Canis lupus familiaris: one gene and its partner. The protein of the gene in region 1 binds, or shares a complex with, the protein of each later gene. Links are inferred from orthologs where the notes say so. Each region holds a gene or a part of one and is shown on either strand. Other genes may lie near its edges. The genes, in order: MICALL1 and EHD1.

The links.
Region 2: the proteins of MICALL1 (region 1) and EHD1 are in contact, whole or in part, in an NMR structure (PDB 2KSP), measured with the Homo sapiens proteins. The link is inferred for Canis lupus familiaris from reciprocal best matches to the Homo sapiens genes MICALL1 and EHD1. Residues at the interface, in NP_203744.1 of Homo sapiens: Lys422, Tyr424, Asn425, Pro426, Phe427, Glu428, Glu429; in NP_001269373.1 of Homo sapiens: Gly464, Ala467, Lys468, Met471, Asn478, Leu481, Gly482, Trp485, Lys486, Lys492, Asp493, Gly494.

The regions. Positions count from the first base shown.
Region 1 is NC_049231.1:27,729,720-27,733,519, reverse strand, and holds part of MICALL1 (MICAL-like protein 1), read left to right. Parts: intron 1-1,090; coding exon 1,091-1,233; intron 1,234-2,940; coding exon 2,941-3,386; intron 3,387-3,800. UniProt on the Homo sapiens protein: Lipid-binding protein with higher affinity for phosphatidic acid, a lipid enriched in recycling endosome membranes. On endosome membranes, acts as a downstream effector of Rab proteins recruiting cytosolic proteins to regulate membrane tubulation.
Region 2 is NC_049239.1:52,795,858-52,800,379, forward strand, and holds the start of EHD1 (EH domain-containing protein 1), read left to right. Parts: upstream 1-1,532; 5' UTR 1,533-1,538; coding exon 1,539-1,566; intron 1,567-1,982; coding exon 1,983-2,063; intron 2,064-2,679; coding exon 2,680-3,106; intron 3,107-4,522. UniProt on the Homo sapiens protein: ATP- and membrane-binding protein that controls membrane reorganization/tubulation upon ATP hydrolysis. In vitro causes vesiculation of endocytic membranes. Acts in early endocytic membrane fusion and membrane trafficking of recycling endosomes.

The DNA of each region.
Region 1 (3,800 bases):
TGCCATGTTCATTCTTGGTCCTTTATCCATTGGCCTTGGAAGTAGAGCCACTGAGACTAGGGTGGTGGAGGTGGCAATGGGCCAGATTCCAGTCCATTCTTTCTCCAGGGCTTGGGGTAGGATCAGGAGATACCAGGCCTGGGAAGGGGGAAGTCAGCAAGTCTGTAACACTGACTCTGCCATTCTGGCACTGGCAGGATTTAACATGTAATGTAGCAAATACTCACCTTGATTCCTGTTGACCCAGAGCTGTTTTCTAGCATGATTCCATTTTGTTCTCTCACCAACCCTGGGAGGTCAGTAGTTTGTGCTGATACACAGATGAGAACATGGAAGCTCAGAGAGGTTTGGTCATTTGTCTGAGGTCAGGCCCCCCCCAGGCTCTGAGATGCTCAGTGGAGTGACACCAGCCCTTCACACCTGGATAGCACTTCATGGTGCGCAGAGGGCTGTTCCCACATGCTCCCCACATGTCCTGGCCAGATGAGCTCCTGAGGGATGGGGAGCCTGGCTCAGTGTGGGTGCCCAGGGAAGTGGGGGCTGAGACAGGCAGGAGGTAGAGGATTCCACTGGTAGGTGAGCCCAAGGCCCAGAAATGTGAGCAGCTTGCTAGGGGTCAGTGTTTGCAAGTGGAGAAACTGGGATTCAAATCTGCTGCAACTTGAGGAGGGGAGGCAGAGGAGGCCAGTGAGGTGGGCTAAGACAATGGTCACCTGCCCCGGGGCCAGCCTGCTGGGATGGGAGTGAGTCAAGGGTAGCCGAGGGGAGGGGGTTATACAGCCAGGAGCCGTCTTCCTGGCAGCAAGGGCCCCAGAAACTGGAAGTCAGGACTTTTGTTTCAATTCTGACTCAGTGACCTTGAGCAAGTCTCCCCGCCACCCCCTGCCGCTCTGGGCTTCAGTTTCCTCATCTACAGAAGGGCTACAGTCTCTCTTCCTCTGCTCCTCTGGGGCTTCGGTGAAGTACATTACCATCGGGAAGCTCGTGTGCACTTGAGGGCAGCGGCTATCTGTGGGGAAGGGGGCTGTTCTAGAACAGGGTGGCTGGCCACTGCAGCCCCACGCCCTTCCGCCCACCTTGTTCTCTGCAGGGCGAGGAGCTGTCCTCGGGCAGCTTGTTGGAACAGGGCACCCAGCGGACCCCCAGCAGCACGTGCGCAGCCTGCCAGCAGCATGTGCACCTGGTCCAGCGTTACTTGGCCGAGGGCAAGCTGTACCACCGGCACTGCTTCCGGTGAGTAGCCAGAGGGGCGGGGGGGGGGGGGGGGCGGGAGGGAGTGGTGGTGAGCCCCTCCAGCACCCCGTTTCCAAGGAAGGGAGCTTCTATGGATTCAGTATCACAGGCACACCTCGGGGCCCTGCATGCAGAGCATCTTGCTTATCCCCATTTTTCCGATGAGCAAACTGAAGCTTAGTAAGGGGAAAAGCCTCGGAGCTCAGGGGTTTGACCTCCCCCTCCAGAGCTCCCTGAGGCTAACTACCTGATGACTATGAAGGGACTGCTATAGAAGTCCTTGAGAAAAAGGAAGGATTTAAAAAAAAATTACAATAACAACTCACTTTCAGTGTGTAGCTCCCAGTGGAAGCTAAGTTTAAAGAAAATGGAATCAGAGCCAAGGAAAAGACAAAAAACTTAGAAAATGTATGAAAACATTTTATATGTTGCAAAAAAAGCAATAAGAAAATAGGGGAAGCCAGAGACTAAGTCCCAACACGCATTCAAATGTGGGTTAGTTGTGTGTCTGTATTTGAGTGTGTGTCTGTGTATATCTGTGGGTGTATGTGTGTCTATGGGTGTGGGTTAGTGTATGTCTGTGTTTCTGTGGGTGTGGGTTAGCATGTGTCTGTGTGTGTGGGGTGTGTCTGTGTCTGTGGGTGTGAGTGTGAGTGTGAGTGTGTGGTGGCCAGGCCTGGAATCCCAGGGGCCTGACTGCAGAACTCAGGTGTCATGAGGGAAAAGTTTCAAGCAGGGGCAACATTATACTAACACATTCACATCTGGCCAGGAGAACAGCATTTTAAAGACTTTTTCCAATGATCCCCCTCCCCCCCACCAGTAAAAAATACATTTGACCCTGCGACCAGTTGTGAATACATGCCTGAATAAAACCCCATGTAAACAGATGTACAACTGGGCCACCTGGGTGGCTCACTGGTTGAGCATCTGCCTTTGGCTCAGGTCATGATCCTGGGGTCCTGGGATAGAGTCTTGCATTGGGCTCCCCACAGCGAGCCTGCTTCTCCCTCTGCCTGTGTCTCTGCCTCTCTCTTTCTCTCTGTCTCTCATAAATAAATAAAAAATCTTAAAAAAAAAAAAAACGAACAAACAGATGCACAACTGGAATTATAGTTTCCTAAAACTATATTCTTGTGTGATACATTCCGATATGTTGTATTTTATTCTGTTTCATAAAAAATATAACCCAAAAGCCTGGCTTGGTTGAAACCTACTCAGTTGATTTCCTGAGCCACTCATGACCTACCTGGGCTGGTACCTCTGTGTGGGGGCAAACCTTTGCTTCCTCTTGCAGCACAAACTTAAGGCATGTTTCACAATTTATGTTGCTTGATTTCATGTGATTTTATTGTTCTGTGCTTTTTTTTTTAAAGATTTTATTTATTCATAGAGACACAGAGACAGAGAGAGAGAGAGAGACACAGGCAGAGACACAGGCAGAGGGAGAAGCGGGCTCCACGCAGGGAGCCCGATGTGGGACTCGATCCCGGGTCTCCAGGATCACGCCCCAGGCTGCAGGTGGCACTAAACCGCTGCGCCACTGGGGCTGCCCTGTTCTGTGCTTCTGACAGTTACTATTTTCCTTCTCTGGGAAGTCTAGGGCACAGGGTCCAGGCTGGTCAATGGGAGGAGAGAGGGGGAGCCGGTGTCCTGGGCTGGGTGCTGGGCTGAGTTGAAGCCCCCACCCCACCTTCTCCCTGACAGGTGTCGGCAGTGCTCTAGCACCCTGCTCCCTGGAGCTTACAGAAGTGGGCCTGAAGAAGGCACCTTCGTGTGTGCGGAGCACTGTGCCAGGCTGGGCCCGGGTGGGCGGTCAGGGACCAGGCCCGGGCCCCCTCTGCAGCCAAAGCAGCAGCAACTTGGAGAAGAAGTCAAGGATGTTGACGGAGGTGGCCCTGGCCGTACTGCACCCGCAGGGGCTGAGGCAGAGGGGTCCCAGGCCAGCCCTGAGGCCCGGCCCCAGATCACCACCAAGCCCCGGCTTCCAAACAAACCACAGGAGCTGGGTGGCTCCCCGGCCGGCCGCCCCACACCTGCCCCAAGGAGGGCCCCTGAGAGCCCAGCCCCGACACCTCCCACGCCCCGGCCCCGGTCCAGTCTGCAGCACGAGAACTTGGCAGAGCAGGGTGGCAGCAGTGGCCTAGTAAATGGTGAGCAAGGGCCCAGTGCAGCTGGGCACTGGCTGGGGTGTGTCTGGTGTTTACATGTGCATGTGCACTGTGAGTATCCGGGGGTTCATGTTCTGTGCCTTGTTTGGTTCCACACGCATGGAGGCCTGAGCTGGGCCCCGGAGACAGATCTGTTCAGACCTATTTGTGCCTTCGAGCTACTCTGTCAGTCTCATGGCAGTGTTGGGGGGGGGCAATGGAGACAAGCACAGACATAGGGGCTTCCACAGAATGTGGAAATCTGTTAAGTCAGGGATAGCAGAGGTTATTGTGGGTTTTGTGGAGGACACTTGGGGGTCAGGGGAGGCTTCAAGGAGTAGTGACACTGGGGCTGAGTTGAGGTAGTGTTTCCATGTTGGGGAAGTGTCCAAGGGACACTTGGGTTCCCCCTTTGGG
Region 2 (4,522 bases), on another chromosome or scaffold:
GCCACCTCTTTTTAAAGTTGTTTTTAGGGGCCTTGTACATAGACCCTTCTCTAAACCAGGCCATTATGGGACTGAGCAGACCGCCTTGAGAGAAAGCAGGTGACCCTTTTCTGCTGAGAGCAATCTCTGCAGAGACCTAGTGGCACAAGGCCAGGTTGCGCAGGTGTGCGTTTCTGAATCTGAAAGGAGGAAACACTGGGAGTGGGGCATGGTTATCATTTCCACAATAAAGGAAAACATTTGAACTCTTAATCTTTTGTCAGGGCCCTGGGCAAAGACAGTGAAACAGAGAAACCAAAAGTGAAATCCTTCATTCATGTTTTACAAAACTCCCACTGAAAACAATCTACTCTGCTCCAAAAACAAGAAGAAAATTAGGACACTTTTACAATCTGGGAATTACTAGATAAGGAAGCTCCCCAGGACCTGAGTGCCAACTCCGTGAAATTGGGAAAACTAATTTCTGTCCCCTTGAGCCTCACGAGAGAGAGAGAGATCCCTTCTTTCAGTCCTTTGCGCTCCTTGGAGAAAGTCAAGTGGCCATATAGAAGGAACGGTGGCTGGAAGTTTCATGTATAAATAACCCAGGAACATTTTGTTTTCAATTTTATTGGGCTGGCTATTCCCAGCACAGAGGACTCTGGGGAGATGTGAAGACCATGGCGGGTCAATGTGAATGCTGCCGCGAGGGAGCTCCCTGAAGCCTCATTCAGGCCATTGAACAACCACCTCTTTCAGGATCCTCAGCCCCAAGCCCTTCCCTGGAACAGCAGAAACTGCATCTCCGGGGTGGACCCCTCAAAGTGTCACAGAGGAGGCAAGTTCTTTGGCTTCTAAGGCTGGCCCAGGAAGTCTGGACTGGGGCCCACCCAAGGCTCCTGATCATCAGCTGGCACACAGCCTCTGGTGACAGCCCTGCCTAGGAGTCTCAATATGTTCTTTTGAGGAGTCCACCAAGAAAAGTCTTGCGGCTTCTGGTATACTGGCATTGATGAAAAGAATGCTAATGAAATCCCAAATAAAAGCAGTAAGTTGGAGACTTACAAGAGTGCCAGCTGGCCAGGCTCTCCAATGATCAGGGAGGCAGAGGGAAGAGGGGAAGGCAACTGACTTAACATTTTATTTCTTCAGAAAGAACTGAGCCTCATCCTACATGAAGTGGCAATCAAAACCTCCCATTTTGCCCTCTCTGGCTCCCACTTGACCCAGCTCCCCAAGTAACTCTACTTGTTCTCAGATTTGGGTTCCCGCCTCCATCGTCTTAGACTGCCAGCCTGCTCTCTTTTCAAGTATAGGCATCTGGCCCTCGGGGCTCTCACATTTCCCAGAAGCCAGAGGTTTGGACACCAGGCCTTCAAGTTCTTAAGTGCAGTTTAGATCTAACTCCGAGGCTCCCCACCCCCTCCTACACTTTGGTGTCCCCGATACTGGTTACATAACAATCACAGTCCCCAAAGCTCTGACATCACCCACTGAAGATTCTCACCAGCCTGGACAGCCAAGGGGGTCTAAGTGTGGCTGGGAATGATGGTGGGGGAATGAGCCTAATGGAACAGCCAGGACCTGGTAAGGGGGAGGGGGGATGCACAGGTCAGCATAAAGGTTAACTAGTAGTGACCCTGAGAGGAAAGCAGAAGTATTTGGGTTTTTTAATTTCCCCTAAGTTCCCACAAGATTTCATTGTTGCCCCACATTCCCCCTCCTCCCCACACGGGGAATTTCCGATTTCACTTCCTCAAAACTCAAGCGGCCAGAGGGCCTCCACTTCCTTTGTACCCCTACCCACCCTCCCACAGGGTGGGGTGCAGCCTCCTCGGAGAAGCCACCTTTTCTTCCCATGTGTCAGCTGTCACGTGGCTTCCACTGCCGCGCCCACCTCCCAACCCCAGCACCCCGCACCCCCCCGCCCCGGGGGTCCGGCCCCTTGCTGCGCCGCCAGATTTCCCCAGGGACCGCCTACTCCCGCCCTGTTCTTTCCCCAGTCACCACCCGGCCTGGGATGCTCTACCCCTCGGCCTCCTCTCTCCACTACCTCGTTCCTATCTCTCCGTCTCCCGAAGCAGGTAAAGCGGAGGGGCAGGAAGGAGGATCAGGTGAGGGCGAGCAGTTGGGGGGGGGGGCGCGAGGCCGCCGGGGGAAGGACGACCGTTCGCGGGGCGACCGCGGCTGGGGCGCGCAGTCGGGGAGCCGTCTCGAGGGCTCCGGAAGGCACGTAGGCCGCGGGACCGCTCCGCGCGGGAGCCCCGCTTCCCGCCTTCCCAGCCGCAGCGCCTCCGCGAGCCGCCCCAGCCCAGGAGGGACCAAAACAGGTGCGGTTGCCACGGCACCCGGGCCGGGGGCGGGGCGCGGAGCTAGCGGCGCTCGCGATACTTGGAGCCGGCCAATGGGAGGCGGGGGAGGGAAGGACGTGGCACGGGGTTCGCGGGGGAGGCTCCTCCCGCCGCCGCCCTCCCGCGGCCCCGCGCGCGCCCGAACGCGAGGCCGGGCCTATAAAGGCCGCACGGCGGGGCGCGCGCTCCACTGCGCAGAGGGCGCTCCGCGGGCCGTGCCGGGCGCCTGCGCAGTGCGGGCCGCTCCCCGCCCCCCCACCCCCGCCGCCCCTCCGCGCCTCCGCCGGCCGGCCCGGCCCCGCCTCGGCTCCGCGCCCTGCTCGGCTCTCAGCGCCGCTCTGCCCCGCAGCAGCCAGCCCCGCGCCCGGCAGCATGTTCAGCTGGGTCAGCAAGGATGCCCGCCGCAAGAAGGAGCCGGAGCTCTTCCAGACGGTGGCCGAGGGGCTGCGGCAGCTGTACGCGCAGAAGCTGCTGCCGCTGGAGGAGCACTACCGCTTCCACGAGTTCCACTCGCCCGCGCTGGAGGACGCCGACTTCGATAACAAGCCCATGGTGCTCCTCGTGGGCCAGTACAGCACGGGCAAGACCACCTTCATCCGGCACCTGATCGAGCAGGACTTCCCGGGAATGCGCATCGGGCCCGAGCCCACCACCGACTCCTTCATCGCGGTCATGCACGGCCCCACCGAGGGTGTGGTGCCGGGCAACGCGCTCGTCGTCGACCCGCGGCGCCCCTTCCGCAAGCTCAACGCCTTCGGCAACGCCTTCCTCAACAGGTACCCGCCCCTCGCCCCCCGCGGAGCCGAGGGGGACCCCGGGGCCGCACCCAGGTCCGGACCCTACCGCGGCCGCGGCCTGCCCCCGGCTCCCGCTCGTCCTTTGTCTCCGAGGCCCTAGCGAGCCCCTCAGCGACCGCTCCCCGGGACCGGGGCCCCTGCCGCTTCGCACAAAAAGCGCATCCGGAGGTCTCCGGCCCCTCCCCCGCTTTTATCGCCTCCAGAATTTTCCAGGTTATCAGTTTAACTCCCAAACCTTCCAGCGGATCTCAACCCCGCTTCCCTCAGGACCGGGGTCAGCGTCGGGAAGGTGAGAGCGTCCCGTCTCCACCTCCTCCCAGGGTCGTCCCAGACTGGATGCACCTGATTCATTCAAGCCAACCCCTTTCCCCTCTCTCCTTCAAGTGCCTGCTGCCGAAGTGTCATGGAAAAATACGTGAAACTTTTAGTTATTCCCTTTGCTGCTGTGCTGTGCTTCCCCCGTGACCGCTGGTTTTGTGTGGGAGGGAGGGGCAGAGAGGATCTGCTGTGGCCTGCTGTATTTGGGGCAGCCCATGAGGTCGCAGACAGAGGGAGTGTGAACACTTCTCCTTGGAGGTCAGCTCTAAAGGGTTTGTGCTCCTTTAGGGGTTGCAGGAAGCAGCCTCAGGCTGTACCACTGGGAGCCCTGGAGTGAGATCTGGGCCCTGAATCCCTCACTAGAGCCTCAGTTTCCCCAATTAGATGGGTGAAGTCTGCCTCATGATCTGGGTCCTCCTCCCAGAGTCTAACCCTCCTGATGCTGGGAATGAAACACTTTGGCCTTCTTTCTTCTTTCCAACAATCAAGTTCACTCCTCTGGAAAGGAACTTGTCCCCACCCTTACCCCCAGCAACCAAAGGACTCCACAGATCTGCTTTTCCTGCCACCACCCCCACCCCCCATTCAAGGAGTGACTCCACATGCCTTTCAAAGTCTGTGTTGGGGGGAAGAGCCTAGGAAAGAATCCTGGACTCCTGTCTTCCAGGTCTCCACCCTGTATGATCACATTCCTTTCCAGACACTGTCCAGCTACACAGGGTGAACCAGCTTGCTCCTGATCCAAGCCGGGGGCCAGCCTGCCTCTGTGCACAAGAGCTGACTTTTAGCAGAGAAGACAGGCAGACTTGTGTTTTTTTTTTGTTTGTTTGTTTGTTTGTTTTTGCCCCTTGGAGGCATTTAAGCCTGTCCACATGTTGGATGGCTGAGGGCATTTGTGTGTCACAGCCGGAGCTGAGTAGAGCCCTTCATGTGAGAGGCATGGCCCTCTTAGCCTTGAGCCCTCCTCTGGAGAATACCTGTGTCTGGGAATTACTGTGCTTATAGATAGGCGACTGGCCCAGACTGTCAGCTGGTGGGCGCCTTAGGATCTTGTGCACGGTTTGGCTGCTAGGCTGA